7 linked regions of the Callithrix jacchus genome follow. The main gene of each other region encodes a partner of the protein of the gene in region 7 in a complex. Links are inferred from orthologs where the notes say so. Each region holds a gene or a part of one and is shown on either strand. Other genes may lie near its edges.

Region 1 (3,932 bases), on a different chromosome or scaffold from region 7:
GCTTTTTAGAAAATTATTCTCCAGATTTCCAGATCTTTTCTTTTTTGACTGCTCCTTGCAGAGCAGGATCATCCCAAAGACAGTGCACCTAGAGTAGCCAGCCCCAAATGTTTCAACAGCTTGCATCTTAGCACTCATGTCTCTGATCAGTCACCTCTCTCTAGAGCTGTTTTCTGACCATCTTGCCCAAAATAGCCACTTCACCCCAAACTTGAGTCACTCTCTAACCCTTTATCTTTATCTTACTCCTAGCATGTATTACCTGAAATTGCATTATTGATTTTACTCACAGTCTTTCTGTCCCATTAGAATGTAAACTCCATGTAGATCGAATGTTAAAATTAAAATAAACTCAGTTTCTATTATTTCACTCAACAATCAACAACACACAACACTTCTGATACCAGATGTGTGACAGTTTTCCCCCACATATCAAGGAAGCTATCAATTCTCTACTGGACACCAGCTAAGTATCCTCTCATTCAATTAAACTGTGATGTTATCTACCTGGAGATAGAGTCAGATGTCACAGGTTGAGGGCTCAGTCCACAAGACTGCCCTTATTTCAGATGCCAACAGTAGGTTTGGGCCACTGGCCAACTGACTACACACCAGGATCTCTTGACCTCATCCTCGGGTTCAACTAATTTGCTAGGGCAGCTCACAGAACTCAGGAAAATGCGTTTACTGGTTTAAAGGATATTACAAAGAATACTGATGAACACCAGATAGTAGGTATGGAAAGCTCTGGAGTCCCCAAGACTAGTCATTTAAAGACTGCATTCTGCCATTGTAAATTTAAGCACGCAATACCCATGACAGGCCAGGTGTGGTGGCTCACGCCAGTAATGCCAACACTTTGGGAGGCTGAGATGGGTGGATCACTTGAGCCCAGGAGTTCAAGACCAGGCTGGGCAACATGGCAAAACCCCACCTCTACTAAAAATAGAAAAATTAGCTGGGCGTCATGGCAAGGGTCTATAGTCCCAGCTACTCAGGGGCACTGAGGCAGGAGGACCACCTGAGCCTTGGGAGGTTGAGGCTGCAATGAGTTGTGATTGGGCCACTGCACTACAGCCTGGGCAAGAGTGAGACCCTGTATCAAAAATAAAATAAATAAAAAATACCCCGTGACATCTCTAGAAATTTTTCCTGTGTCCATTTCAAATTCCGCCTTTTCCACAAAGTCTCCCCTCATAACTTTACTAGTCCATGACACAGTGCCTCACACCTGCCTGTGGGGGGAGAGGGGGGAGGCGGGCACTCAAATGTTTGCTGCCTGTAACATTCACTAAAGAAAACTCTTGGCTGGGCGTGGTAGTGCATGCCTGCAATCCCAGCACTTTGGGAGGCTCAGATGAGAAGATTGCTGGAGGCCAAAAGTTGGAGACCACCCTGGCCAATGTAGTGAGACCTCATTTCTATTTTTTCATTAAAAAATATTTCAGATGCCGGACATGGTGGCTCATGCGGGCAATCCTAGCACTTTGGGAGGCCAAGACAGGAGGACTGCTTGAGGTCAAGAGTTCAAGACCAATCTGACCAACACAGTGAGAAAAATAAACCCCATCTCAAAAAAATAAACAAATAAAATTTTTTTTAAAAAAAGCAAAAAAAAAAAAAAATGTTGGAAAGGAGGGCGGAAGAAAACTCTCTAGCCCACATAGCTTATTCCATCTAATTCTTTTTGCACTAAGGTTAGTATTACACAAATATGCATGTTGTGTTCTGTAACTCTTTAATGTCTGTATGCCTTGTACTCCATCTTCCCTGCAGCCAAGGACAGATTTCCTTCTGTATACACAAACCCCAGGACAGAGCAAAGCACCAACAGTAATTCCCAAAACAAGTTTTTGATTAAAGCATTTTTTGGATTCAAACTGTCATCAGCCAGGAAAAAACTATGGGTGAGGGGAATGAAGGGTGTTAAGAGGGCTCAAGCTGATGTCCTAAAATGATTACATCCCCTACAACCTTCCTGAACACTAGACTTTTCCTGCTGAGTTCGTATGGAAACTTTTTCCACTTAAGATGGGGCAGCCAGGTTGGGGACTAGTAGGAGTTGTGTAACTTCTCGGACGCTGCCACTGAAAAGCATCTTTTTCTTAAAGGCGAGGAGCACTTTACAGACGGTTACTAAGGCAACCGGAAACAGCAAAACTCTGAGGTGGTTCTATCTACGGAAGAAATTCTACGATCCAAAGTTAAAGTGCGGTGCAGTGGTGCATATCCGCAGACAGCGGCCAGTACTGTGGCTCATTTAAATCTCTGTTCAGTTCCGGGCCCCTTTTTTCAGGAATCCTTATTTCGGGACGCCGAACGGACACCGAAAGGAAAGAGACCACCACAGGCAAACGGCCGGAAAGCGGCGCAGTCGCATCCCGCGCGGTTCACTCAGCCCAAATAAGCCACTACCGAACCCAATCCCATCTCGTTCGCCCAAGCCGCGGACCTGAGGGAGCGCTGTCCACTCCCCGCCAGATGCTTACGCGAAAAACGCATTCCTCAGCGTCTGAGGCCACGCCGCGGCTTTCGGCCTTGGTGAGGGGGTGAACTAAACCCGGGAAACCGCTCAAAGACCCCAGCTTCCACTAGGCCTAGTCGTAAAGGCGGCCGGCAGGAGGGCCTAGCCGTAGCCTTGGCCCACGTCATTCTGTGCCCCCGGTTAGGTCACCGCCCGGAGGCTATGGAAAGAGTAATGAAAACCACTAGTACTCCCAGACCCTTCCGTATCGAGGACCCCAATCAACAACCCACCTGGTGAGCGCCATCTTCTTCCGCTTCTTCCACCGCGAGAGACAGCACCGCGGGGCGGGTCTTTTCAGATGAAGAGGAGCGCAAAAGGAAGGGGCGCGCGATGCGCAGGCGCCCTGGCCGAACGGCCTTCTGGGATTTGTAGTTCTCTGAACAGGAGTACCATTTGTTCCTATTCTGACCGAACGGTTATCAAGGAATAATCTCTTCAGCTAGCAGCAAATGCATAACTCGATAGTTTATATGCTATGACATGATAGGGCGTTCCCTAGGCAAAATATCAACGATATAGCGAGATGCCTTTTAGGCTGCTTTATTTCGTTCTCTACTCAGTCCATTCCCCCTAGAAGGGGTACAAAATAGAAAAGCTTCCCGGGGACAGCTACTTTAAGTGAAAGGGTGGTAGGGCTTTTAAAAGGGTAGGAAATAGTGAGACTGGCTAATGGAGAGTTCTTGGATTCTCTGAAAACATTCACACTAAAAACTTTTCTTTAAACCGTATCCTCCCCCCCGCCAAAAAAAAAAAATAATAATAACTCTCCTGGGGAGATACTTTGTAATCCTTGGTAATTCACTGGGTGTCTGGGTTCTCTGCCCAGGGTAAGACAAGGCCGAAATCTCATCGGAGGCTCTGGAGAAAAATCCATCTCCTAACTCATTCTTTTAGCCAGAATTCAGTTCCTGGCGGTTGTGGGACTGAGTTGCCTGTTCTGTTGTGTGCTGTTAGTGGTGGACCCCCTCAGCTCCTAGGGGTCACTCTCAAGTCCGTCCCGCTTGAGCCCTATTGGTAGTTCACAACATGGATGTTTACTTTCTTCCAGGCCAGCTGAAGCACATCTTTCTGAGTCTTCTGCCACCGTTGGAGAAAAATGCTCTGCTTTTATTTATTTATTTATTTTTAAAAAGACGGGGTTTCATCATGTTGGTCAGGCTGGTCTTGAACTCCCGACCTCAGGTGATCCTCCCGCCTTGGCCTCCAGAATGCTTGGATTACAGGTGTGAGCCACCACGCCTGGCCAAATGCTCTGCTTTTAAAGGACTCATGTGATTAGATCAGGCCCACCTGGATAATCTCCAGATTTTAGGGTCAACTCTTGGTCGGGCGCGGTAGCTGACACCAGTAATCCTAGCACTTGGGGAGGCTGAGGCCGGTGGATTGCCTGAGCTCAGGAGTTTGA
Region 2 (2,245 bases), on a different chromosome or scaffold from region 7:
ACTTTTTTCTCCTTAGTAAACAAACCATATGCCTTCAGCCTAAATGTCGGTTCCCAATTTCCGTTGTGCCTTGTCTGCACAATCATTTTAATTTTTAGATGTTTCAATTTTAGCTACAATATGTGCATTTAGCTTATACTGACACAGAAGTAACATGTAATTTTACTAAGTAAAATAAGACAGTACATTAATACCAAAAACATGTTTAATTTTATACATGTTAAAAGTGGCTCAAAAATAACTTTAAAAGTTGCATTTAAAAGGTCTCAGCTAAGATATAATTTTACAAGAAAAGGTCTGAAATTCACCTTCATAAAAATATCTAAAGCATATAAATAACTATCCTTTATAGAAAAAAAAAAGAGTATCAAGCTTATAAAAAAAAGCAACTTAAATAAAATTCAGTGACTTTTAAAGCATTAGTTTTGTGAGTAATCTTTCCCAATTGGTTCAGCATTTGGGCTTTGCTGGTAAATATCTGAATACAAATAGTTCACAAGTCAAGAACAAACAAATCTTTATTGTCTAGAAATATATATATATAAAAAAAAATCCCAGGGGCTGGGGTCAGGAAAAAAAAAAAATCCCCCACAAAATATGCTATTCTCTCATTTCCCCATCTTCTTCCTCTTCTTCCACACCTCTGATATAAAGGACATTATTACACCTGTAAATAGAAAAAGTCCATTTTGTTGTTTCAACCAGAATCCATGTATGATCTGAATTACTATATTTTTTATTATGAAAATACTGAATGCTATATTTATAATATTCCTGTCTTTCAAAAAATATATATTTGTTTTTAAAAAACGTTTTACATAGATAAGTTGAAAAGCACATGGCACTGATTTTCAACCATATGGTTGTTATAAAATGATATCTTTATAATTTTCCAAGGGAAATAATTATCAGAATTTGGAGCTTTGAAGCTAGTACAAAAATTCTTACAAACAGCCAGACCCAACTAAAATTCAAAACTAAGTGCCTCCAATGAAGGCCACTGAAAAAGGTTATATAGCTAAGAGCCAGAAAATTTAACATCAACACTAGAAAAATCTTTTGGCCAGTTCTAAAGCATTTTAAAACTTATCTTTGACAAGTTTAGCAATTTCAAAGACTTCTGAAGTCCAATTGTAAAGTATTATAAGTTAATAGTGATTTTTTAAAAATAAGTAACTCCAAAATTGAGGCTCTAATATATTTAAAACAGGTATTCCTAATGCTCACCAGTAACTCCTTACATATACCACTGCTGTTTTTTACCTTATTAAAACTTCACCCAGATGTCCAGACAATGCTCCATCTATGTATTCTTCTGTATTTGCAAGCTTTCAATAAAAAGAAATATATTAGTATAATCACACAGGAGGAAAATATTACAATACAGCTAATACTGTGAGAGAACTTATTAACTGATACCTTTCTACACCAACAACTCAAATCTATCTATAATTAATAAACAGAAGATGAGCTTTCTATTACTACTGTAGGACTTTTGGTTTCATATAAACCTTCAGTAAAATTAACATTCATGGATGTAGAACAAATATATAATAAAGCTTGTTTCAACATAAGTTTCTGAATCTCCCAGGTTACGTAATATTTCAGATATCAAAACTGTGTGGAAGCAGTCTCTAATTTATGAATAAATTGTGATTAAAAAGTTTTCTGAAAATTCATTCTAAAGCACCAAATGTTGTTTTCTCAGAGTCAACATTATAAATCATACTGAGGTGTCCAAATGGGTTACAAAAGCTATGGCTAACATGCCAAATACTTTCATATTAGGCAACATCCAAAGCAGGTAATTAAGTAAGAATTTTCTTCTTTTCTTGCCTTTTAAGAAACAGGGTCTCACTCTGTTGCCCAGGCTGGAGTGCAGTAGCACAATCATAGCTGACCAAAACCTCGAACTCCTAGGCTCCTCCCACGTCAACCTCCTGAGTAGCTATGATAGAAAGCATGTGCCACCAAGCCTGGCTACTTCAAAACAATTTTGCTATATTGCCCAAGCTGGTCTTGAACTTCTGCCCTCAAGTGATCCTCCCGCCTTGGCCTCCCAAAGTACTGGGATTATAGGTATGAGCCACCACATCTGGCCAATGAATAATAATTTTTTTAAAATTTTGTACTAATAAACAGGGAAAAAGAAGTTCTTAATAGAAAGTTAAATAGTTAAGTTTCACATTTACAGTTATTTTGTTGAACTCTTATTATTTCTAATTTTATATCAAAATGTTTAGTT
Region 3 (4,255 bases), on a different chromosome or scaffold from region 7:
CTAACTTGTTCACCATACCCCAGCATTTAGAACAGTAGCTTGCTTATACAGTACGTGCCCAATAAATATTGCCCAGTGAATCACTCAGTAGGTCTTAAGATCACAACTACAGAAGCTATAAGTTACAGATTGCCATCTCTACTTCTCTTGATATGAAAACACTAAATATGAGTTACTTTTATTTTTGAGACAGGATCTTGTTCTGTCACCCAGGCTAGAGTGCAGTGACCCAATCCTAGCTCACTGCAGCCTCAAGCTCCCAGGCTCAAGCAGTCCTCCCACCTCTGCCTCCTGAGTAGCTGTGACACCATGCCAGGTTAATTTTTTTTCTTTGAGACAGAGTTTCACTTTTGTTGCCCAGGCTGGAGCTGGAGTGCAATGGTGTGATCTTGGCTCACTGCAACCTCTACCTCTGGGGTTCAAGTGATTCTCCTGTCTCAGCCTCCAGAGTAGCTGAGATTACAGGTGCCCCCCGCCATGTCCAGCTAATTTTTGTGTTTTTAGTAGAGATGGGGGTTTCACAGTGTTGGCCAGGCTGGTCTCAAACTTCCGACCTCGTGATCTGCCCGCCTCAGCCTCCCAAAGTGCTGTGATTACAAGTGTGAGCCACCACAACCGGCCGACAGGCTAATTTTTGTAATTTTTTTTAATAGCAGAGACGGGATTTTGCCATGTTGCCCAGGCTGGCCTTGAACTCAGGGACTCAAGTTATCTGCCTGCTTCAGCCTCCCAGAGTGCTGAGATTACAGGTTTGAGCCACCTCTCCTGCCTGAAATTGTTGGGGATTTTTTTGGTTTTGTTTCCGTTTTTTTTTTCCAGATGGAGTCTCGTAGTTGCCCAGGCTGGAGAGCAGTGGTGCCATCTGGGCTCACTGCAACCTCCACCTACTGGGTTCAAGCGATTCTCCTGCCTCAGCCTCTCAAGTAGCTGGGATTACAGGTGCCCGCCACCATGCCCAGCTAACTTTTGTATTTTTAGTTACCTATAGGGTTTCATCATGTTGGCCAGGCTGGTCTCAAACTCCTGACCTCAGGTGATCTGTCCACCTCAGCTTCCCAAAGTGCTGGGATTACAGGTGTGAGCCACTGTGCCTGGTCAAAAAATTGCTTTTATTTTTTATTTTATTTTTTTGAAATGGAGTCTTGCTCCCATTGGGCAGGCTGGAGTGCAATGGCATGATCTCAGCTCACTGCAACCTCCACCTCCAGGGTTCAAGGCATTCTCCTTTTTCAGCCTCCCAAGTAGCTGGGATTACAGGATACGCCACTACGCCCAGCTAATTTTTGTATTTTTAGTAGAGACAGGGTTTCACCATGTTGGCCAGGCTACTGAACTCCTGAGCTCAGGTGATCCTCCAGCCTCAGCCTCCCAAAGTGCTAGGATAGGTGTGAGCCACTGTGCAGTGGCTGAAATTGCTCTTTTTAAGACATCTTTTTTTGGGCTGGGCATGGTGGCTCATGCCTGTAATCCCAGCACTTTGGGAAACCAAGGCAGGTGGATCACCTGAGCTCAGGAGTTCAAAGCCTCATCTCTTCTAAAAATACAAAAATTAGCCAGGCATGGTAGTGGGCACCTGTAATCCCAGCTACTCAGGAGGCTGAGATAGGAGAATCACTTGAACCTGGGAGGCGGAGGTTGCAGTGAGCCGAGATCTTGCCATTGCACTCCAGCCTGAGGAAAAAAAGTGAAACTGTCTCAAAACAAAACAAAACATCTTTTTTTTGAGACATGGTCTCGCTCTGTTGTCCAGGTTAGAGTGCAGTGGAGCAATCTCAGCTCACTTTGGCCTCTGCCTCCCAGACTCACGCAATCCTCCTGCTTCAGTCTCCATGGGCCTATAGGTGCACACAACTGTGAGCGGCTAAGTTCTGTATTTTTAGTAGAGACGGGATTTTGCCATGTTGCCCAGGCTGGTCTCAAACTCCTCAGCTCAAGTGATCCGTTTGCCTCAGCCTCCCAAAGTGCTGGGATTACAGGCGTGAGCCACCACGCCCGGCCCCAACGACTCACTTCTAACTCACCTATCTCACCCCGGCCCATTAGACCTTTAGGGAACCGACCCCGCCCTTACCAATAGCAAACTCCACGAGGGTCTCATTCTCCTCCGACAGCGAATCGAGAAATAAATCCAGGACCTGCAGCTGCCGCAGATACTCGTAGTTGTTGGGGTCATAAGCGAAGTTGGCGAGGTTGGCGAGGACTTGCTCCTTGGCGTCTGCAACGGGAAAGCGGCACTGGAGCCAGGTCCGAGCGGCGGTCACAGCAGACCCTGCCCCCCTGGCCCCACCGTGGCTCTCACCTTGGCTCTGGGTCTCCTGGAATTCCGTGACCAGCGCCTGCAGGAATCCCAGCCGCCCGACGTGAGGGTCCACCTTCGGCTTCTGGGCCATGGCCGGTGTGGCAGAGGACCCCCAGGGACGGACGGGAGGGTGGGAAAGGTGCAGGGGAAAGCCGAGCGAGACCTTCACCTGCCCTCCACCTGTGTGGAGAGGGAAGATGGGGGGCGGCAAACGGGTTTCTTTCTAGAGTTCAGATTCTACAGTAATTTGCCGCTGAAAATGGGACGTGGGAGATGGGGCGTGGTCTCAGAATCCTGTGGGAGTTGGGTTTGAAAATCGAAATTGGGGCGCGGGCGACGAGGAACAGTCTACGAGTTGGGGCTTGCAGAGGGGGCACCAGCGCCGTGTGCCGGGTGCCGGGTGCCGGATCCCGGATCCCGGGTCCCGGATCCCGGATCCCGGATCCCGGATCCCGGGATCTGTTCCGAGCTCCCAGCGGAAGCCGCGCTGTCTCCGCCCTTAATATAGCGGAAGGAGCGGGCACGAGGAGGAAAGGGCGGGACAGGGGCGGGGCCGTCGACGAACTCCTTGGCGCACGTACTCCGCGCGGTTACGTTTTTTCTGGATGCGGAAGCCCTTCAGCCTGGGCTGCAGCCCGCTGCTAGCGGATTCCCTGAGACAGGTGCGGGCGTGGGTGGGTTTACTGCGAGGAGCAGCCTGGTTTCCCTTATCTCGTTTCCAGCTGCAAATTACTGCAAAATCTGAACGCAAGAAAGAAACCCACTTGCTGCCCCGGCCGATAGGAGGGCGGGTTAGGGCCTCGCTCGGCTTTCCCGCCCCACCTTTCCCACTCTCCCGCCCATTCCCCGGGGCCCTCAGCCGCCCCGACGTGGCCCAGAAGGTAAGACGCCCACGTCAGGCGGCTGGATTTCCGCGAGGAGCAGCGGAGTCTGCCAGAACCCATGTGGCAGGACGTCGAGGGAGAAGCACCTCCAGGACCCCCACGGCTGGCGGGGGCGTGGCCCAGCCTCCTTGACCCGGACGGCCCTTCGGAGCGCGGGCGTCAGCTCTCTGTGCCCCCCATCGGTCCTTTGCCCCTTTTGCAAAAAGCCTGGCGACCCCGATACGCCCTCCATCCCAGCCCGAGGTGGGTCCGCCACCTCTGGACAGAAATCAAGGGGACTGGCTTATGTCCTGGGGCTTTTCGTCAGTCGGGTGGACGGCGCGCGCCCGGGGAAGCACCGGGGAGCCGGAGGAGGAGCCTTGGATGTGGCCCTTTCAGGGCTTTCTGGATGCTGAAGCCCTTCGGCCGGTTCCCTGTCGGGGATTCTCAGGAAGCAGGTGTGTGCTGCATTAACTCGTGGTCACAGGGAACAAAGCACCAGGGAAGGAGGTGGCCTTGCCACTCTCCGATCGTGTTTGACAATGTGGTATAGGTGGCTTAGGCTGTGCATGTCCTGAGAGTACAAAAGTGGAGTCACTTGCGTTAAAAAACAAACAAGGCCGGGAGCAGTGGCTCACGCCTGTAATTCCTGCACTTTGGGAGGCCGAGGCGGGTGGATCACGAAGTCAAGAAATCGAGACCATCCTGGTCAACATGGTGAAACCCCGTCTCTACTAAAAATACAAAAAATTAGCTGGGCATGGTGGCTCGTGCCTGTAATCCCAGCTACTCAGGAGGCTGAGGCAGGAGAATTGCCTGAACCCAGGAGGCGGAGGTTGCGGTGAGCCAAGATCGCGCCATTGCATTCCAGCCTGGGTAACAAGAGCCAAACTCCCGTCTCAAAAAAACAAAACAAAAGAAAAAAACCAACAAAATCCCGACAGAGTTCAAGAAATCCAGGACGAGAGAGTTCTCATGCATAAATATCTGATAAAACTATCACAAAGACTGCAAAAACCACCACGTTGCACAAAGGCCATCACAAACTTGCACAAAACCACTTCTGCACGGCCATCTGCCCAGCAACTGCCTG
Region 4 (4,210 bases), on a different chromosome or scaffold from region 7:
GAGCTTACAGGCATGTGCCACCGTATCTGGCTAATTTTTTGTATTTTTAGTAGAGACGGTGTTTCTCCATGTTGGTCAGGCTGGCCTTGAACTCCCAACCTCAGGTGATCTGCCCGCCTCAGCCTCCCAAAGTGCTGGGATTACAGGCATGAGCCACCGTGCCCAGCCAAGAATTTGTTTTCCTTTTTTCTTTCGAGACGGAGTTTTTGCTCTTCTTGACCAGGCTGGAGTGCAGTGGCACAATCTCAGTTCACTGCAACCTCCGCTGCCCAGGTTCAAGGGATTCTCCTGCCTCAGCCTCCCGAGTAGCTGGGATTACAGGAGCAAGTTACCATGCCCACCTAATCTTTTGTATTTTAGTACAGATGGGGTTTCATCATGTTGGCCAGACTGGTCTCAAACTGCTGACCTCAGGTGATCCACCCAGCTTAGCCTCCCAAAATGCAGGGATTACAGGCAGAAGCCACCATGCCCAGCCGAGACAGGAATTTCAAATAGGAAGACACGTTTCAAGTACATCAGAGGTCAAACCAGATAAGGAGAACTGTCCCTGAGATTTGGCAATTAGGTCACCACTTTGAGGTGGAGTTAGAGGAGAGAATGGAACTAAAAGGTAAAGAAACAAAAAACAGCAAGCATAGTCTGCTCATCAGAAAAACTTAAGAAATCATTTCAGACTGGTAGCTGTTAGAGTGTATTTTGTATGTTTTTTTATAAGAGAATGTCTGAAGAAAAGGAAAACTCTTAAACTGTTACTGTTGAACAAAGGGCAGCAGGGTGAGTGGTGACAGAGATGCTCTACCAAGCTCTTCCCTCCCTTTCCCAACAAAGCACACCTACCTGGATGGGGCATCCCACCTGGTGGGAATGGATGAGGATGTGAGTGTCCATGACCAGGATGTCCTGCCCCTGGGGTTCCTGCCGACGGGGGGCCGTGTCCTGCAGCCCCAGGCGGCATAGGTGGTGGGGGCATGGCTGGAGGTATCCCAGGTGGGAGGGCTCCAGGAGGCGGCACTGGGGGTGGGAAGGAGCCAGGAGGAGGCATGCCTGTAGAGGAAATGGAAGAAGGAAGAGTTAATGGTAGTGGGGAGAAAATGTCTTCAAAGAGCTGACCATATTTGGCCTCTCCAGCCACGGCGAGTTCTTTGCCCCTCCTCCCAGTGCTGGAAAATCAAAAGCAATGTTAGAATAGTCAAATAACTTCAGCCTCCCAAAGATACCCAACAACATTCTCCTCCACCACTTCCCATCACTCACTGACTTCCCATCACTCTTCCCATCACTCATTGACTCAATGTCCCTCTTTCAGACTCTTTTTTCTTCCCCTGCTGCACTCCTCCAACCTTAAGGACAAACATATTTTAACCAAAAGCCTTACCTGGTGGAGGAAGCCCAGACCCCAGTGATGATACCACAGGATTGGGGGCAGAGGGTGGAGGAGGCGCATCTGCAAACAGCTGATGAGGACGGTCAGCCTGGGAGAGTGGGTTCTGAGCTGCCAAAAGTCGTTCAGCTGCTGAGCCATGGCGCTCACCCTTGGAGTCCTTCTTGAAGGCGTAAGATACAGTGATAGGGCGGTTACAGAGGTACTGCCCATTCATGGCTTCAATTGCTGCATCCGAAGCATCAAATGAAGCAAAATTAATAAAGGCATAACCTTTGGAGTTGCCTGTGTCAGGGTCCCGCATAATCTTAGGGGTTTGTAAGATGACCCCAAAGGCGCTGAAAGTATCATAAAGCAACTTCTCATCAATCTCAGGGTCCAGGTTGCCAATGAAAATGTTGGCCCCTACATCCAGGTTTTTGTTGTGAGCTGATGCCTTGTTCACCCGTATTGGCTTCCCATAGAGTTTGATCATGTTCATGATCTTAATGGCATAGTCTGCATCTTCCTCACTCAAGAATTCCACAAAGCCATAGCCTGCAGAAGTGGAGAGGAGGTTAACAACCTAAGTGAAGAGATTCAAAATGGGGTAAAACTCACCTCCCCTCTGATCACAAAGAATGAGAAACAACCTCACTTTATTTGAGAATGGCTCCAGAAATAAACTGAACTGAGGCTTAAAACAAAGAAATCTTTAGGTTGCTCATCTCATTCCAAAACAGTTGTGAATACTGCTGGGACCCTCCAGGAGCAATTTGCCCCTTGCCATGTACTCACCTTGGTGCTGGCCAGTGACTCTATCCTTTGGCATGTGGGTGTTGACTACCGGTCCAGCCTGGAGAAACAGTTCCCACAGCAGCGGTTCACTAACCTTCTCATCCAGGCCCCCGACGTACACAGTGGCATCTGAAGGGAGGGAGCAGAAAGTCAGGGCAACGGTGAGAGTATAACAGGAAAGGAGGTGATGGAAACATGAAGATGGAACCCAACCAGAGGAACTGGGGACCGGGGCAGGGTAGGAGCAAAAAAAAAAAAAAAAATACGTTTAACCCTTAAACCTCTTTCTTCCCAAGACTTAGGAAATCCTCTCAAGGCTAATTTAGTATTCTGGGTGGATTTTTTTGAGTGGGAAGGCAGCAGGGGATTGGACATAAAAGTATCACACCAACAGGCCTAAGCCAGCACCCAGCCACCCCGCCCCCAGCAGGCATGGGGCCGGTTTCGCGCCCTCTGGGGAACCGAGGAGTTCAGCTTCCCACCCCTGCAGAGGCACTGCTGACCCTAGTCGGGACCTCCTCGCCATGCTGAGCGCATTCCAGATTCTCCCCCTCCAGTTACCCTGGTTCCGCTCGGAGATCGGCCCGGCAGCCATGGCGAAGGAGCTCCCGCCGTCTCCCAGCAGCGGTTCCGCTCTCTGACCTCAGCCCGACTTCCACTTCCGGGGCGAAGGCTGACGTATGGTGGGCGGGGCCGCAGAAGAGGAAGTGCCTGGGAGCAGCCGCAGCCATCTTAGGAGCCTCCTTGTTTTAACCCGGCTCGACCGGTATAGTCTTCGCCTCCCGCGCAGTTGTTCTGTTGCTAGTGGTCTAAGCGAGGAGGGCGAAATGGAAACGCTCAGACCCTCTTAATGCTAAGCTTGAAAAAATCACACTGCTCCCAAAAATGTAAATTCGAACTCTGAAAGGACAAGGCTTTACTTTTGCTATATTTTGTGGCCACTGATTCTTCTTTTGTTTCCCAGAGAAGAACGTGCTGAAGAGTCCCCGCAGCCGGAGGACTCGGCTGCTTTCAGGCGCAGAGGGAAGCTTCCATCTCGCCTGCAGCCTTCTTGCAGATTTGGCCTCACAGCCCTGATTTGGCCTCACAGCCCTGATTTGGGCTGGAGGTATTGGTTTTCCTTCAGGGGAGGAGACTGCGGAATGTCTGAGCTGGAGTGACGTCTGCGCTCACTTCGTCGTAATAACATGGGGAGGGGAAGGGTGGTGGGAATCAGGCTGCTCCGAGGGTGTTTGACCACAGCTGATGGGTGGATGGGCTCAGAGACTTCAGTATGGATTTCTAGAACACTCTGGCCCCAGAGACATTTTTTTTTTTTTTTTTTTTTTGAGACAGTCTCGCTCCATCGCCAGGCTGGAGTGCAGTGGCACGATCTCAGCTCGCTGCAACCTCCGCCTCCTGGGTTCAAGCAATTCTCCTGCCTCAGCCTCCCGAGTAGCTGGGACTACAGGCGCGTGCCACCACACCCAGCTAATTTTTGTATTTTTAGTAGAGACAGGGTTTCATCATGTTGGCCAGGATAGTCTCGAGCTCTTGATCTCACGATCCCCCTGCCTCGGCCTCCCAAAGTGCTGGGATTACAGGCGTGAGCCACCGCGCCCGGTAGCGACAACATCCTGACATGCTCGTGCCCCATCTAACCCTTTCCCCAAACTGCACTTTAATTCTGCAGCGCCTCACTAGACCCAGTTCCTCTGTTTCCTTATCAATAATATGGTGGATGCCTTCCTCTCTTGGGTCACACCCACCTTTTACCCACCACTCTTTGCTACCTAGGAGAATCCTTTATTCAAACACAAGAAACAATGCCAACAATGTGTATAAATACCATGCTTTAATGAACCCCTTAAATAGCAATTCCACTACAAAAATACACAGAGGAGACAGGGTGTTTCCTGTATCCACCTCATTCTCAGAAAACTGTAAGGAAAGAAACAGAAGTTGGAATTAAAGCAGCAGCAAGGCGGGGCCGTGTTGTTGGGACTAATGAACAGCATCTCTAATCTCACAATTAACATCTGGTTATCCAGAAGGGATGGAATTGGCTTA
Region 5 (3,500 bases), on a different chromosome or scaffold from region 7:
GCGTTTATGAGTCCAGAAAGATATATTTTGAGGCTAAAAACTATTTTTAAATTATATTGGTTTTTAGGTACTTTATAAAAAACAAACTGCACTGAAATATGTAAAACTACTCACTCCGTTACAATCATAAATTTTACTGATATTGTTTAAAAAATATGTTATCAAATTTACCTAATCTTGGAAAAACGATGAGACATAACCCAATGCTTTTATGATCATTTTAAATTAGTTTAAGTGTGGTGGTGTTAGAAGTGTCATTAGAATTTACTCTGATAAAAGTATTAGTTTGGCTAATTTCTTAAAACTGGAATATTTCAAAGTATATCAAACAGAATGATAGAAACTTGATGACATTATGCATATGGTATATACAACTACACAGTAAATACAATTATAAAATCCTATCATTTCTAATCCTATAACAAACCTGTATATAAAAATTTAGCTCCTGGTACAGCTGATTTCAACCCGCACAGAAAGTAAATTAATGGTTCTGGTACATAAGCCTAAACTATATTATTTAATTTGATCAATGTTTTCCAAACAGATGGCTTCTCTTAGCTCATTTAAGCCCTTATATTACCAACTAAACACCTTGGAAAATTAAAATCCCCTCCACTACTAAATCATCCTATTGTATAGCCTGCTAAAGGTACCTGATGATCTAAAGAAATTGTTTTAATATAATGTGTAGGCAGATTTGACAGAATAAAACTAGATGGCTATTACCAAAAATATACTCTAGAATACAAGGAACCTTTCAAAAGGGAAAAAAATGACAAACTTTTGTTGCATAGACAGCTTCTTCTTATAGTCTTTGCACTTCTTCTTCTTCTTTGAGGCATCATATTCTCCCTTCAGTTGAAACTTTGCCACCTCAACATGTAATTTGTAGCCTCTAATTTCATCTTCATCCAAAAGTTTTAATGCAAGTTCCACAGATTCTCTCTTTATAAAAGTAAGATAAAATATAGTTATACAACAAAATAAAACTTAAGGAGTTTTTTAGATAATTATAATTATACATACAATAATTTAAATTTTTATATTTATGTATTACTAATATATGAGATCGCTTTATCGCTTTGAGATAAAGAACTTTAGAATCCAAACCAGGATTCGAGACACAGCAGTCCCTAACCGGCCGTGTAAATGTGGGTAAATTATACAAGCTTCCTGAGCCCCGATACCATCATCTGTAAAATGGAAATAGTAAGATCTTCATCACAAAGTTCTTGACTAAATTAAATGAAATAATGCACGGAAAAGACAAGGACTAGCGTATGACAGGTGTTCAACAAATTATATTATTATTGTATAATCTTTTCTCAAGGCTGCAATTTCTCATCTGTAGAAAGAGGGGAGCAAACCTGTTAATTTCTAAGGTGTATTTGTTTTAAAATCCTATATAATACTCTTACTTAAGAGATGAGATGACTCAACGAACTGGGAACAGCATAGACAGCCTTTAATTTTTTTGTTCATCAACTAAAATGTAAGTTTGTAATACACTGAGAAGTAGAAGACAATTATCTGATGGCTTGTACTTTATATTAAATACATGTATGGATTCCGGGTCTTACACAGAAGCGACATTTATCAGCCCTACACAGAGTCAAAGATCAGAGGATCTGTAGAAAAAAAAATGGATAACTAAACTCAGCTGCTCACATAAAATATGGGTCCTGGAATAATTCGCTTCATTTTCCTGGAACTCAATTAACTGCTTTGACAATCTTGTATTGCTATGGGTCTCAAAACCCTATTTTTTTCCTTTAAAAATTTAAAAAATCTAACAGAATGCCCTAAGAGTCTGTTCACAGATTTTTTAATAATCCTTAAAGAACGTGTAAGACTCTCAAATCTCCTTATATTTTAATATTACAAACATCCTAAAATGGTCATGCTCACGTCCCAAAACCACCACATTTAAGATTCAAGTCAAAAACCTATTTCCCAAAAAGCTGTCAGCTTAATCCTACCCTCTTCTGATCCCACTGGAATACTGTGTACTCACAACACGCCCATGGTGTTTGTACCTTTGCTTTACCATTTTGATTTTACTCTGTAATTATTTTCAGGTTTTGACTTACATAAATGCCATCTTCATTTGTTCTGTACCCTGTGATAATGTATAACACATGCTCCTAAGGTGGCAGGTGTTCCAAAAATGATGGCTGCCTTTGGCATTAAGGTTTGTGTAATTTATGGTATTATGACTACATGCAGTTCTGCAAATTTCTCTTATTACCACTCTCGCTTTTTTCGCATTCGAAAAAATATTTTAAAGCAGTAAGCATAAGCTATCATCTCTGTATGGTCTAATTCAAGGGTCAGAAAAGTCCTTTTGTTAAAGGGCCAGTTCATAAATATTTTAGGGTTTGTAGGCCACAAGGTCTGTGCTGCAACCACTCAGCTCTATCAATGAAATATAAAAGCAATCATAGACAAATGCATAAGTGAATTAGTGTGGCTGTGTTCCATAAAGCTGGATTTACCAAAACAGGACTGGAGTTTGCTGAACCCTGGTGTAATTCACTCCAGTATACAAGGAAAACGTCATTGGCTTTTTTTTTTCTTCTTGAATTTTTAAAATGTATTCTGAATTGACTGTACACATCAATAAAGACATCTTTCCAGTGAGAGTTTTTCAAGACAAAAGAAGCACTCCATTCACATACTTATATAATACTTTAACCAGATAACATACTTTCTTAAAACAAGTGAATAATCTTACCAGTGTGATACACACAGGTACTAACCGAAATTCCGGTTTTCTTCATATCCTGTTTTGAATAGTTCTTGGTGTTGGTTATCACCTATAGACATTATAGCCCTGGTTCCTGAGTTAAAAACGAAGACACAGAAACTTATTTGATCATATAACTTACCTTCAAGTAACAGCAAAGACCGTCTCCTTTAAGATTTCCTTGGTTATCTTTGTAAAGTTTGACCTTAAATTCCTCTGTCTGAGGATCTCTCATAATGATGCCAAACTTGGACATGAGTTGTATAAATTCATCCACTGTAATATCTGGAGGCAAACCTGTCATTTAATTAAAAAACATTTATAATCGGTTATAAAGGTGAATTACTTAACATTCTACCAATTAGAACTCTATAACTTAGGTGAATGCAATGTTGATTTTTCTAAATGTATGGAAAAGTTTTACATTTACAGAACTGAAGAAATTTCACATTTCTGTGTGTTCAAGTATACATTAAAACTACGCTTTGTTGAAGGCCTCACTGAATGTGAAGGGACACACTGCTGTAAGCTACATTAACCAGGTCCAAAGGCTGGCATGTAAAGTTACACACTAAATTTCTTGGTTCTGTAATAAACACATATATTCCTTACTAATATAAATGGCTCGATAAAAAATGGACTCTGGAGAAACTGAAAGCTAAAAATCACTTCGTGAAAAATCTCAAAATTAAGTATTTCCTACCTTAAACTTAGTTAAAAATTTATACATACCAGACACGTATACATTTGT
Region 6 (3,500 bases), on a different chromosome or scaffold from region 7:
TGTTCCCTAATGCTCCCCAGAGACCTTACTCCAGCGCCCATTCAGGCCCAGGCCAGGCTGGTTTCCACGCTGTGGAGCCGTGGCCCGGGGGCTCATGGAGACGGGCTGCTGGAGCAGCCGGTGAGACGCGGGCGAGGTACTCACAAGTTGGTCTGGTGCTTCTTCCCCTGGGTATGTGCCAGGTAGCTCCCCTGGAGTGGAAAGGAAACACATGTGACTCGAGGCCGAGGGGACAGACACGGGGCAGGAAACACGCGTGACTCAAGGCCGAGGGGACAGACACGGGGCAGGAAACACGCGTGACTCGAGGCCGAGGGGGCAAGACATGGGGCAGGAAACACGCGTGACTCGAGGCCGAGGGGGCAAGACACGGGGCAGGAAACACGCGTGACTCGAGGCCGAGGGGACAGACACGGGGCAGGAAACACGCGTGACTCGAGGCCGAGGGGACAGACACGGGGCAGGAAACACGCGTGACTCGAGGCTGAGGGGACAGACACGGGGCAGGAAACACGCGTGACTCGAGGCCGAGGGGACAGCACGGGCCGCACCTCGTTGTTGTGAAGCGTTAGGCAGAGCTTGCATTCATAGGAGCCCAGGTGGTTTTTCATGAAATACGGGTCCTGGAAGGGAAGAACAGGTACCCCGTTAGACAGAAGATAATGGCCTGCCCTGCGGTCGGGGCCCTCAGAGGTGGGACCCCCTTTCTGTGGAGGCCTGGCTGTCCCTGATGGATCTGGCGAGGGGCCTCGTGAGCACGCGTGTGGCCACCTGGGGCTGTGGCCTAGGCTTTGAGCAGTGGGTTCCCAGGGAGCCCTGGCACCACCTTCCTGGTGGTTCTGAGGCAGAGAGGCAGAGCCAGGACAGCAGCGCCTGTCACTCTGATGCAAGGAGCCGTCCGCTGTCCACGCCACCAGGCCAGGGGTCAGCACAAGGCAGACGCAGGGATGAGAAAAGCAATGGGTGACATGGAAGGCCACGCGCATCCACGGGCCCTGAACTGGGGCAGGCAGGCACACACTTCTCGTCTCAGACCCTGGAGTTCAAACCCTAACTCCACCCCCTGCGGCCTGGCACCCCTCCACCGTGATCTCATCTGGAAGACAAGGAACGTCACAGAGCCTATGCTGCAGGCCAGGCCCGTGGGGCATGTCAGGGAACACGGCACTGGTGGGTCCTGGTGGCATCCAAACCTAAGGAAGCGCACGCTGGCAGGGTCTCGGCTGGGATCCACCCTCACAGGGGCCTGGGCGGTGTCTGGGGACATCTGTGTTTGTCCCGATGGGGGGAGCTCCTGGCACGGAGCCAGTGGGGGAAGGGATGCTGCTTGGCACCCTACAGTGCCCGGGACGGCCCCAGCCCAGTGCTGCAGCCCCGACGTCCACAGTGCTGAGGGGGACCCGGCCCACCCCACCTCTGCACAAGGTAAAACCAGAGCCTTCACTGCATCTGACTGGACCGACATCAGCTCCCCCCATTTCCACAAACTGGATGATGCCCAACAAGGCTTTGCACAGAGCCCACCATTTCCACCCGGGGCTCAGAGCCACAGAGGGTCTGCTGCCTGGCGTGGCTGGATGGGAGCTGCGGCTGCATCGCCCTGCCCAGCCGGCCGCCCACCTTGTTGATGTCGATGGTCTCCAGGGCCAGCTGCCGGAGGCGCTCCCTGCGGTCACGGTTGCTCTCGGAGGAGGAGGCCACGCCCCCGCTCCCGGTCTTGCCCCCAGGGCGATGCTGGAAGTCCATGGTGACGGCCTCCGGGCTTCAGCAGACTGGGAGACACCTGTGGAGGAGTGTGAAGACGGCTGAGAAGGCGGGGCTGCTGCTGGGACCTCCTGGGGCACCCAGCCTGTGGAGGCCAAGAGGAGACTGAGAAGGACGGCTAGAACTCGGGGCTGCTGCTGCCACCCCAGGGCCGGGCAGTCAGGTTGGGGCCAGCAAGACTGCTCCTCACCCTGCACTCCCAGCGCCAGGGTCTCACCAGCCCTGAGGGGCCACCTGCTAGTGCACTGACTCTCTTCCAGGGTGCCAGGGCCCACTGTGGGCCGGGCACAGACATGAGGAAGCTGGAGCCTGCCTCTTGACCGTGCAGGAGGGTGGAGGGGAAGCCACTCCAGCCCACGGTGCCAAGGCCTGGAGACCTGAAATGGCGACAGGGAGTCAGAGAAGGCACAACCAGGGAAGAGGCGGCCAAATTCTCACCACCGAGTCACCACCTCCAGGAAGCCATCGGGACTGCCCGAGCCCCCAGTGTTCACACCTTCCTCTCAACTCCCTCTAGGGTTGGCTACGCTTACTTGTCCCAACCTGAGTTCTATCTCTCGGAATCGGCTGTGAATTTTCTGGGCAGAGAGGGAGACGTGGATCTTCCGGTCCTCACTGGGTAACACCGGGAGATCAGCCACATCTGCCTGTGGCGCAGGAGGGCTCTCCTGAGTCCCAAACACCCGCTTCCCGCCGCAGCCCTCTGCCGCTGCTCCACACCCTCAGGCTCCAGGCAGACCCAAGCTCCAGGCAGCTTCCCCTCCTCTCCTGACGCTTTTCCCTGCCCCTTCAACACCTGCCCCGGGCCCTGGTTTAAAGGCCCTGGGTGAGCTCAGGAGACCGAGTGAATCATTCATGGCCCCCAAAGACGTCCGTCCACATGCGAACCCCTGGGCCCTGCGAACCCTCACACGGCAGGAAAGGGAAGCGCAGGTGGGCCTGAGGATCTTAAAACAACGGGTGATCCTTTCAGCATCCTCCCGAGAGGAGGGGGAGGCTGGGGGACAGAGAGGCTGTGCTGTGCTGTGAACAGGGAGGACGAGGGGAAAGGCGGGAAGAGTTCCGCTAACAGAAGGGATGGAGCCTCAGGGACTGTTTGCACTTCCAGCCCCAGATCCAGAAGCGGATGCAGCCACGTCACCTGAACTGCCGCGTCTTCGGTGATCTGCCACAGCGGCCGCAGGTGTGCAGGAGCACGCTGAGGTACAGGCCAGCTGTGCTGCTGACCTGCGGTGGGACCTGAGGTCACTCCTCAGCTGTGGGGGCCCAGGACCCTCCCACCCAGTTAGTTTATGACAACGATCCAGTGTGGTAACCGGTGGGACGGGCTGCTGACCTGCGGTGGGACCTGAGGTCACTCCTCAGCTGTGGGGGCCCAGGACCCTCCCACCCAGTTAGTTTATGACAACGATCCAGTGTGGTAACCGGTGGGACGGGCTGCTGACCTGCGGTGGGACCTGAGGTCACTCCTCAGCTGTGGGGGCCCAGGACCCTCCCACCCAGTTAGTTTATGACAACGATCCAGTGTGGTAACCGGTGGGACGGGCTGCTGACCTGCGGTGGGACCTGAGGTCACTCCTCAGCTGTGGGGGCCCAGGACCCTCCCACCCAGTTAGTTTATGACAACGATCCAGTGTGGTAACCGGTGGGACGGGCTGCTGACCTGCGGTGGGACCTGAGGTCACTCCTCAGCTGTGGGGGCCCAGGACCCTCCCACCCAGTTAGTTTATGACAAC
Region 7 (4,258 bases):
GCTAGAGGAAAGATCTGAAGGGTATGTGCAGTGGCGAAATGAGACCATTCCACTTGAGTCTCCCCCTCCCTTACTGAACACACAGTGAGCCTGGTCAGTGAGAGTGCAGAGCTAGTGGCAGAGGTGGGGAGAGAAACTGAATTGATGGTGTGGGACTGGGAGAGGTGGATGCTAGGCAGGCAAGGAACCCTGCCAGTCTCTGCCAATATCCCTAAAGGCCAGGGGGAATTGGGGTGGGGAGCGGGAGGCAAGGTGGCCCCCAGTGCGTGCGGCTGAGGGAAAAGGGCCTGAGTTTATTTATTTTTTTTATTTTTATTTATTTTTTTTTCTTTTTGAGACAGAGTTTCGCTCTTGTTACCCAGGCTGGAGTGCAATGGCGCGATCTCGGCTCACCGCAACCTCCGCCTCCTGGGTTCAAGCAGTTCTCCTGCCTCAGCCTCCTGAGTAGCTGGGATTACAGGCACGCGCCACCATGCCCAGCTAATTTTTTGTGTTTTTAGTAAAGACGGGGTTTCACCATGTTGACCAGGATGGTCTCGATATCTTGACCTCGTGATCCACCCGCCTCGGCCTCCCAACTGAGTTTATTTTTGAGACTAAAAAAGACAAATGCTGTCACCAGAACAATTACTCCTTTTTTCTAGTAATCATTTATTGGGCACCTCTTGAACGCCAGGCAGTGCGAGACTGAAAAAGATCAAGTACCTGCTCATACTTTTGAGTTGGAGGTAGGAAGAAAGGGCAAGAAAGAACGGTGGAGATTCGAATGTATTATGGGAGCTCTAAGAAAGGAAAGGAAAGCAGGAGAAAGCTTAGTGGAGGAGACGACATTTGAGCCGGCCTGGACGGTGGAAAAGGGGGTTTTAGTGTTGCCCTTCCCCCAGGTCGGCAGCTGGAGCTCAGCCCGGGCGGTCCCGCTCCTCTCCCGGCTCGGATCCCCTTTCAGCCCATTCATCCGGGCCTGGGCCGGGGGTGGGCGGGCAAACAATCAGACACTGTTTTATCCCAGGCATCGGCTCCAGCCTCCCGCTGGGCGCCCGCAACGCGGGGCCGCCGGGGAAATGAGTCTCTCGGGACTCCCTGGGAGCGTAAGCATCAGGGCCTCTGACCGGGGAGCCGGGCCGGAAGGCTTGAAAGCCTGCGCTCCCGCAGGTGAGGCGCAGAAAACACTCCCTCGGGGAAGGGCCAGCCTTCTCCGCAGCCCCGCCCACGGGCCCGCCGCCGGCCTTCGGGCAGTAGCGAGGCGCAAGGCCCGTAGAGACCGAGACCTGTGCACTACAACTCCCAGGAGGCCTCGCGACTAGGCCGCCGAGGGGTCGTTGGTGAAAGGGGCGTCTGCGGCGAATCCGGTGGCCCAGGGAACGGCAGGGGGCGCACAGCCTCCCAACCAGAGAGGACGTGGCGCACGGCGCTGCCGGAAGTTCCGGAAAGTGGGCCCGGCGGCTGGCCCGAGTTTCCGGGTTGGTCGTGCGCCTTCCTGCGGCTAAGATGGCGACCGAGCACCCGGAGCCTCCCAAAGCGGAATTGCAGCTGCCGCCGCCGCCGCCACCTCCAGGCCACTATGGCGCCTGGGCTGCCCAGGAGCTTCAGGCCAAGTTGGCAGAGATCGGAGCTCCGATCCAGGGTGAGGAACGCAGGAAGTCAAGGGGCCTTTACTGGCCTGCGGAGAAGCGGAGCCTGGTTACCCGGGAAACCCGGGCGCGAGGGGCGGAGGCGGGCCGCTGGGGCCTGACCTGGCCGGGCTGGCCTGCCTTATTGATTGTGTACTTTGCCTCGCAGGTAGTCGCGAGGAGCTGGTGGAGCGGCTGCAGACCTACACCCGCCAGGTGGGTGTTGGCGGCAAGACGTCAGGCCGAGTGTCTCCAGGAGACCTATACTCCTCACGGCTCGGTCTTTCTTTATCTCGGCACAGCAAGGCGGAGGCTTGCTCTCTTTGCCTTCTTGCCTTTGCTAGCTTAGTTGTAATCTCTTGTATTTATCTTGGTCCTCTTCAGTGCCCAGCCGGAGCGCTCGCAGACAGGCGCTAGGTGCATTTTGTTGAATGAATTGGGCGAAAATGTCGTTTAGTGAAATATCTAATTTTGCACCGACCTAGAGTCCTTTCTCTTTTGCAGACTGGCATCGTGCTGAATCGGCCCGTTTTGAGAGGGGAAGATGGGGACAAAGCCGCTCCACCTCCCATGTCAGCACAGGTAGGGAGGTTCTTCCATTTTTAAGTATTCTATCTGCTGATTTTTTTGTAGTTCATGAGTGTAATGATTGGGTGTTCACGCGCATGTGTGAGATGTGACACTCTTGCACATTAATTACTAGCCTAACCTGAGGAGGGGAAAAGAAAAAAAGATTCCATCTGTTCAGGGAAGCCTTTCCTTTCACCTGCAGTATACTTGGGATGCAACTAACAGTTTGGGCAGGGAGGTACTGCCGTGGCAGAATTGTGAGCTCTTCAGTTCTCTCTTTGATGCTGACGCCTCCTTCCCACTGTCTGCTTCTCCAAATTCTACCTGTCATTCAAGATTGAGCTTGTGGCCGGGTGCAGTGGCACATGCCTGTAATCCCACCACTTTGGGATGCCTAGATGGGAGAATCACTTGAGGCCAGGAGTTCAAGACCAGCCTGGGCAACGTAGTACGACTCTGATACTACAAAAAAGTTTAAAAAATTATCGGCACAGCAGCACGCACCTATAGAGTCCCAGCTACTGGGAAAGCTGAGACTTAAGGATTGCTCGAGCCCTGGAGTTCGAGGCTGCAGTGAGCTATGGTTGCACCACTGTACTGCATGTACTCCATCCTGGGTGACAGAATGAGACTTTGTTTCTTAAACAGAAAAAAAAAAAAAAAGGAGAGGGTGGGGCAGGGGCTGGGAGAGTGTCAGGAAAAACAGCTAATGCATGCCAGACTTAATGCCTAGGCAATGGGTTGATAGGTGCAGCAAGCCACCCTGGTGCATATTTACTTATGTAGCAAACCTGCACATCTTGCACATGTACACCAGAACTTAAAATTAAATTAAAAAATTGGAAAAAAAAATTCCAGCACTTAGAGAGGCCAAGGCTTATGGATCACCTGAGATTGGGAGTTCGAAACCAGCCTGGCCAACATGGTGAAACCTCGTCTCTACTAAAAATACAAAACATAGTTGGATGTGGTGGCACATGTCTGTAATCCCAGCTACTTGGGAGGCTGAGGCAGGAGAATTGTTGTGGAGGTTGCAGTGAGCCGAGATCTAGCCACTGCACTCCAGCCCAGGTGATAGAGTGAGACTCTGTCTCAAAAGAAAGGCAGGGCTCGGTGACTCAACCAAGCACTTTGGGAGGCTGAGGTGGATGGATCACTTGAGGTCAGGAGTTCAAGACCAGCCTGGCCAACATGGTAAAACCCCCATCTCCATTAAAAATACAAAAATTAGCCAGGTCTGGTGGCAGTGCCTATAATCCCAGATATTTGGGAGGCTGAAACATGAGAATTGCTTGAACCTGGAAAACAGAGGTTGCAGTGAGCCGAGATTGCGCCACTGCACTCCCACCTGGGCAACAGAGCAAGACTCTGTCTCAAAAAAAAAAAAAAAGCTTGAATGCAAGGAAGCCTAACTTGTCCCTACCCAGCTGGAAGCAATCACCGTCTTCTTTGCCTGCCTTGGGCACAGTTCCCATGTTCTTTTGTGAGACATCTAGGGCTCCCTGATTTGATTTCATACTCCTTGCGTTTAGTAGTCATTGGGGTTTGTATTGCCTTGGCACAGTGGTTCCTGTTTATTTAAGTCGTCTCAATTTCCATGTTCCTTCTGATCTAGGATTTGCCTCTTTTTCTCTAAAATAGTGGCTCTGACCTGAGATCTGTTGATCTCTGTGTGTAGGATGAGGAGTCCCTAGATGACCTCAGAGGTGTCCTCGAGTCTCCTGGAATTGTATGCAGAATCTCTGTTCAGGATAGCTTCCTTTGGTTGATGCCAAAGGAAGTTAACATTGTCATATCTTCATAGTGCTGTGGAGCATTCTTTCTTAGGAACTGTGTATCATTTAACTTAGAATCCCAGCTCCTGACTCAAAGTAGATTCCCCCAAATGTTTGCATAATGAATAAATGCTTCCTAGTTTCATGATCATATTTTCTCCATAGCTCCCTGGAATTCCTATGCCACCACCACCTATGGGACTCCCCCCTCTACAGCCTCCTCCGCCACCCCCACCACCTCCACCAGGCCTTGGCCTTGGCTTTCCTATGGCCCACCCACCAAATTTGGGGCCCCCGCCTCCT

Evidence for each region.
Region 1: SF3B2 (region 7) and SNW1 share a complex: the UniProt entries of both Homo sapiens proteins name them as parts of the minor spliceosome. The link is inferred for Callithrix jacchus from reciprocal best matches to the Homo sapiens genes SF3B2 and SNW1.
Region 2: SF3B2 (region 7) and SNRPF share a complex: the UniProt entries of both Homo sapiens proteins name them as parts of the minor spliceosome. The link is inferred for Callithrix jacchus from reciprocal best matches to the Homo sapiens genes SF3B2 and SNRPF.
Region 3: SF3B2 (region 7) and ARMC7 share a complex: the UniProt entries of both Homo sapiens proteins name them as parts of the minor spliceosome. The link is inferred for Callithrix jacchus from reciprocal best matches to the Homo sapiens genes SF3B2 and ARMC7.
Region 4: SF3B2 (region 7) and SF3B4 share a complex: the UniProt entries of both Homo sapiens proteins name them as parts of the SF3B subcomplex of the 17S U2 SnRNP complex. The link is inferred for Callithrix jacchus from reciprocal best matches to the Homo sapiens genes SF3B2 and SF3B4.
Region 5: SF3B2 (region 7) and HTATSF1 share a complex: the UniProt entries of both Homo sapiens proteins name them as parts of the 17S U2 SnRNP complex. The link is inferred for Callithrix jacchus from reciprocal best matches to the Homo sapiens genes SF3B2 and HTATSF1.
Region 6: SF3B2 (region 7) and SF3A2 share a complex: the UniProt entries of both Homo sapiens proteins name them as parts of the 17S U2 SnRNP complex. The link is inferred for Callithrix jacchus from reciprocal best matches to the Homo sapiens genes SF3B2 and SF3A2.

Annotation. Positions count from the first base shown.
Region 1 is NC_133509.1:112,714,242-112,718,173, forward strand, and holds the start of SNW1 (SNW domain-containing protein 1), read right to left. Parts: upstream 2,801-3,932; 5' UTR 2,772-2,800; coding exon 2,758-2,771; intron 1-2,757. UniProt on the Homo sapiens protein: Involved in pre-mRNA splicing as component of the spliceosome. As a component of the minor spliceosome, involved in the splicing of U12-type introns in pre-mRNAs.
Region 2 is NC_133510.1:98,945,661-98,947,905, reverse strand, and holds the end of SNRPF (small nuclear ribonucleoprotein F), read right to left. Parts: intron 1,329-2,245; coding exon 1,264-1,328; intron 668-1,263; coding exon 601-667; 3' UTR 501-600; downstream 1-500. UniProt on the Homo sapiens protein: Plays a role in pre-mRNA splicing as a core component of the spliceosomal U1, U2, U4 and U5 small nuclear ribonucleoproteins (snRNPs), the building blocks of the spliceosome.
Region 3 is NC_133506.1:131,033,034-131,037,288, reverse strand, and holds the start of ARMC7 (armadillo repeat-containing protein 7), read right to left. Parts: upstream 2,801-4,255; 5' UTR 2,391-2,800; coding exon 2,300-2,390; intron 2,216-2,299; coding exon 2,072-2,215; intron 1-2,071. UniProt on the Homo sapiens protein: As a component of the minor spliceosome, involved in the splicing of U12-type introns in pre-mRNAs.
Region 4 is NC_133519.1:9,859,729-9,863,938, forward strand, and holds the start of SF3B4 (splicing factor 3B subunit 4), read right to left. Parts: upstream 2,801-4,210; 5' UTR 2,757-2,800; coding exon 2,723-2,756; intron 2,291-2,722; coding exon 2,162-2,290; intron 1,922-2,161; coding exon 1,379-1,921; intron 1,048-1,378; coding exon 841-1,047; intron 1-840. UniProt on the Homo sapiens protein: Component of the 17S U2 SnRNP complex of the spliceosome, a large ribonucleoprotein complex that removes introns from transcribed pre-mRNAs.
Region 5 is NC_133524.1:133,298,977-133,302,476, reverse strand, and holds part of HTATSF1 (17S U2 SnRNP complex component HTATSF1), read right to left. Parts: coding exon 3,482-3,500; intron 3,047-3,481; coding exon 2,892-3,046; intron 949-2,891; coding exon 785-948; intron 1-784. UniProt on the Homo sapiens protein: Component of the 17S U2 SnRNP complex of the spliceosome, a large ribonucleoprotein complex that removes introns from transcribed pre-mRNAs.
Region 6 is NC_133523.1:2,124,478-2,127,977, reverse strand, and holds part of SF3A2 (splicing factor 3A subunit 2), read right to left. Parts: intron 3,044-3,500; exon of another isoform or gene 2,906-3,043; intron 1,784-2,905; 5' UTR 1,747-1,783; coding exon 1,621-1,746; intron 624-1,620; coding exon 552-623; intron 192-551; coding exon 145-191; intron 1-144. UniProt on the Homo sapiens protein: Component of the 17S U2 SnRNP complex of the spliceosome, a large ribonucleoprotein complex that removes introns from transcribed pre-mRNAs.
Region 7 is NC_133511.1:123,126,769-123,131,026, forward strand, and holds the start of SF3B2 (splicing factor 3B subunit 2), read left to right. Parts: upstream 1-1,458; 5' UTR 1,459-1,488; coding exon 1,489-1,624; intron 1,625-1,779; coding exon 1,780-1,826; intron 1,827-2,114; coding exon 2,115-2,192; intron 2,193-2,231; exon of another isoform or gene 2,232-2,325; intron 2,326-4,120; coding exon 4,121-4,258. UniProt on the Homo sapiens protein: Component of the 17S U2 SnRNP complex of the spliceosome, a large ribonucleoprotein complex that removes introns from transcribed pre-mRNAs.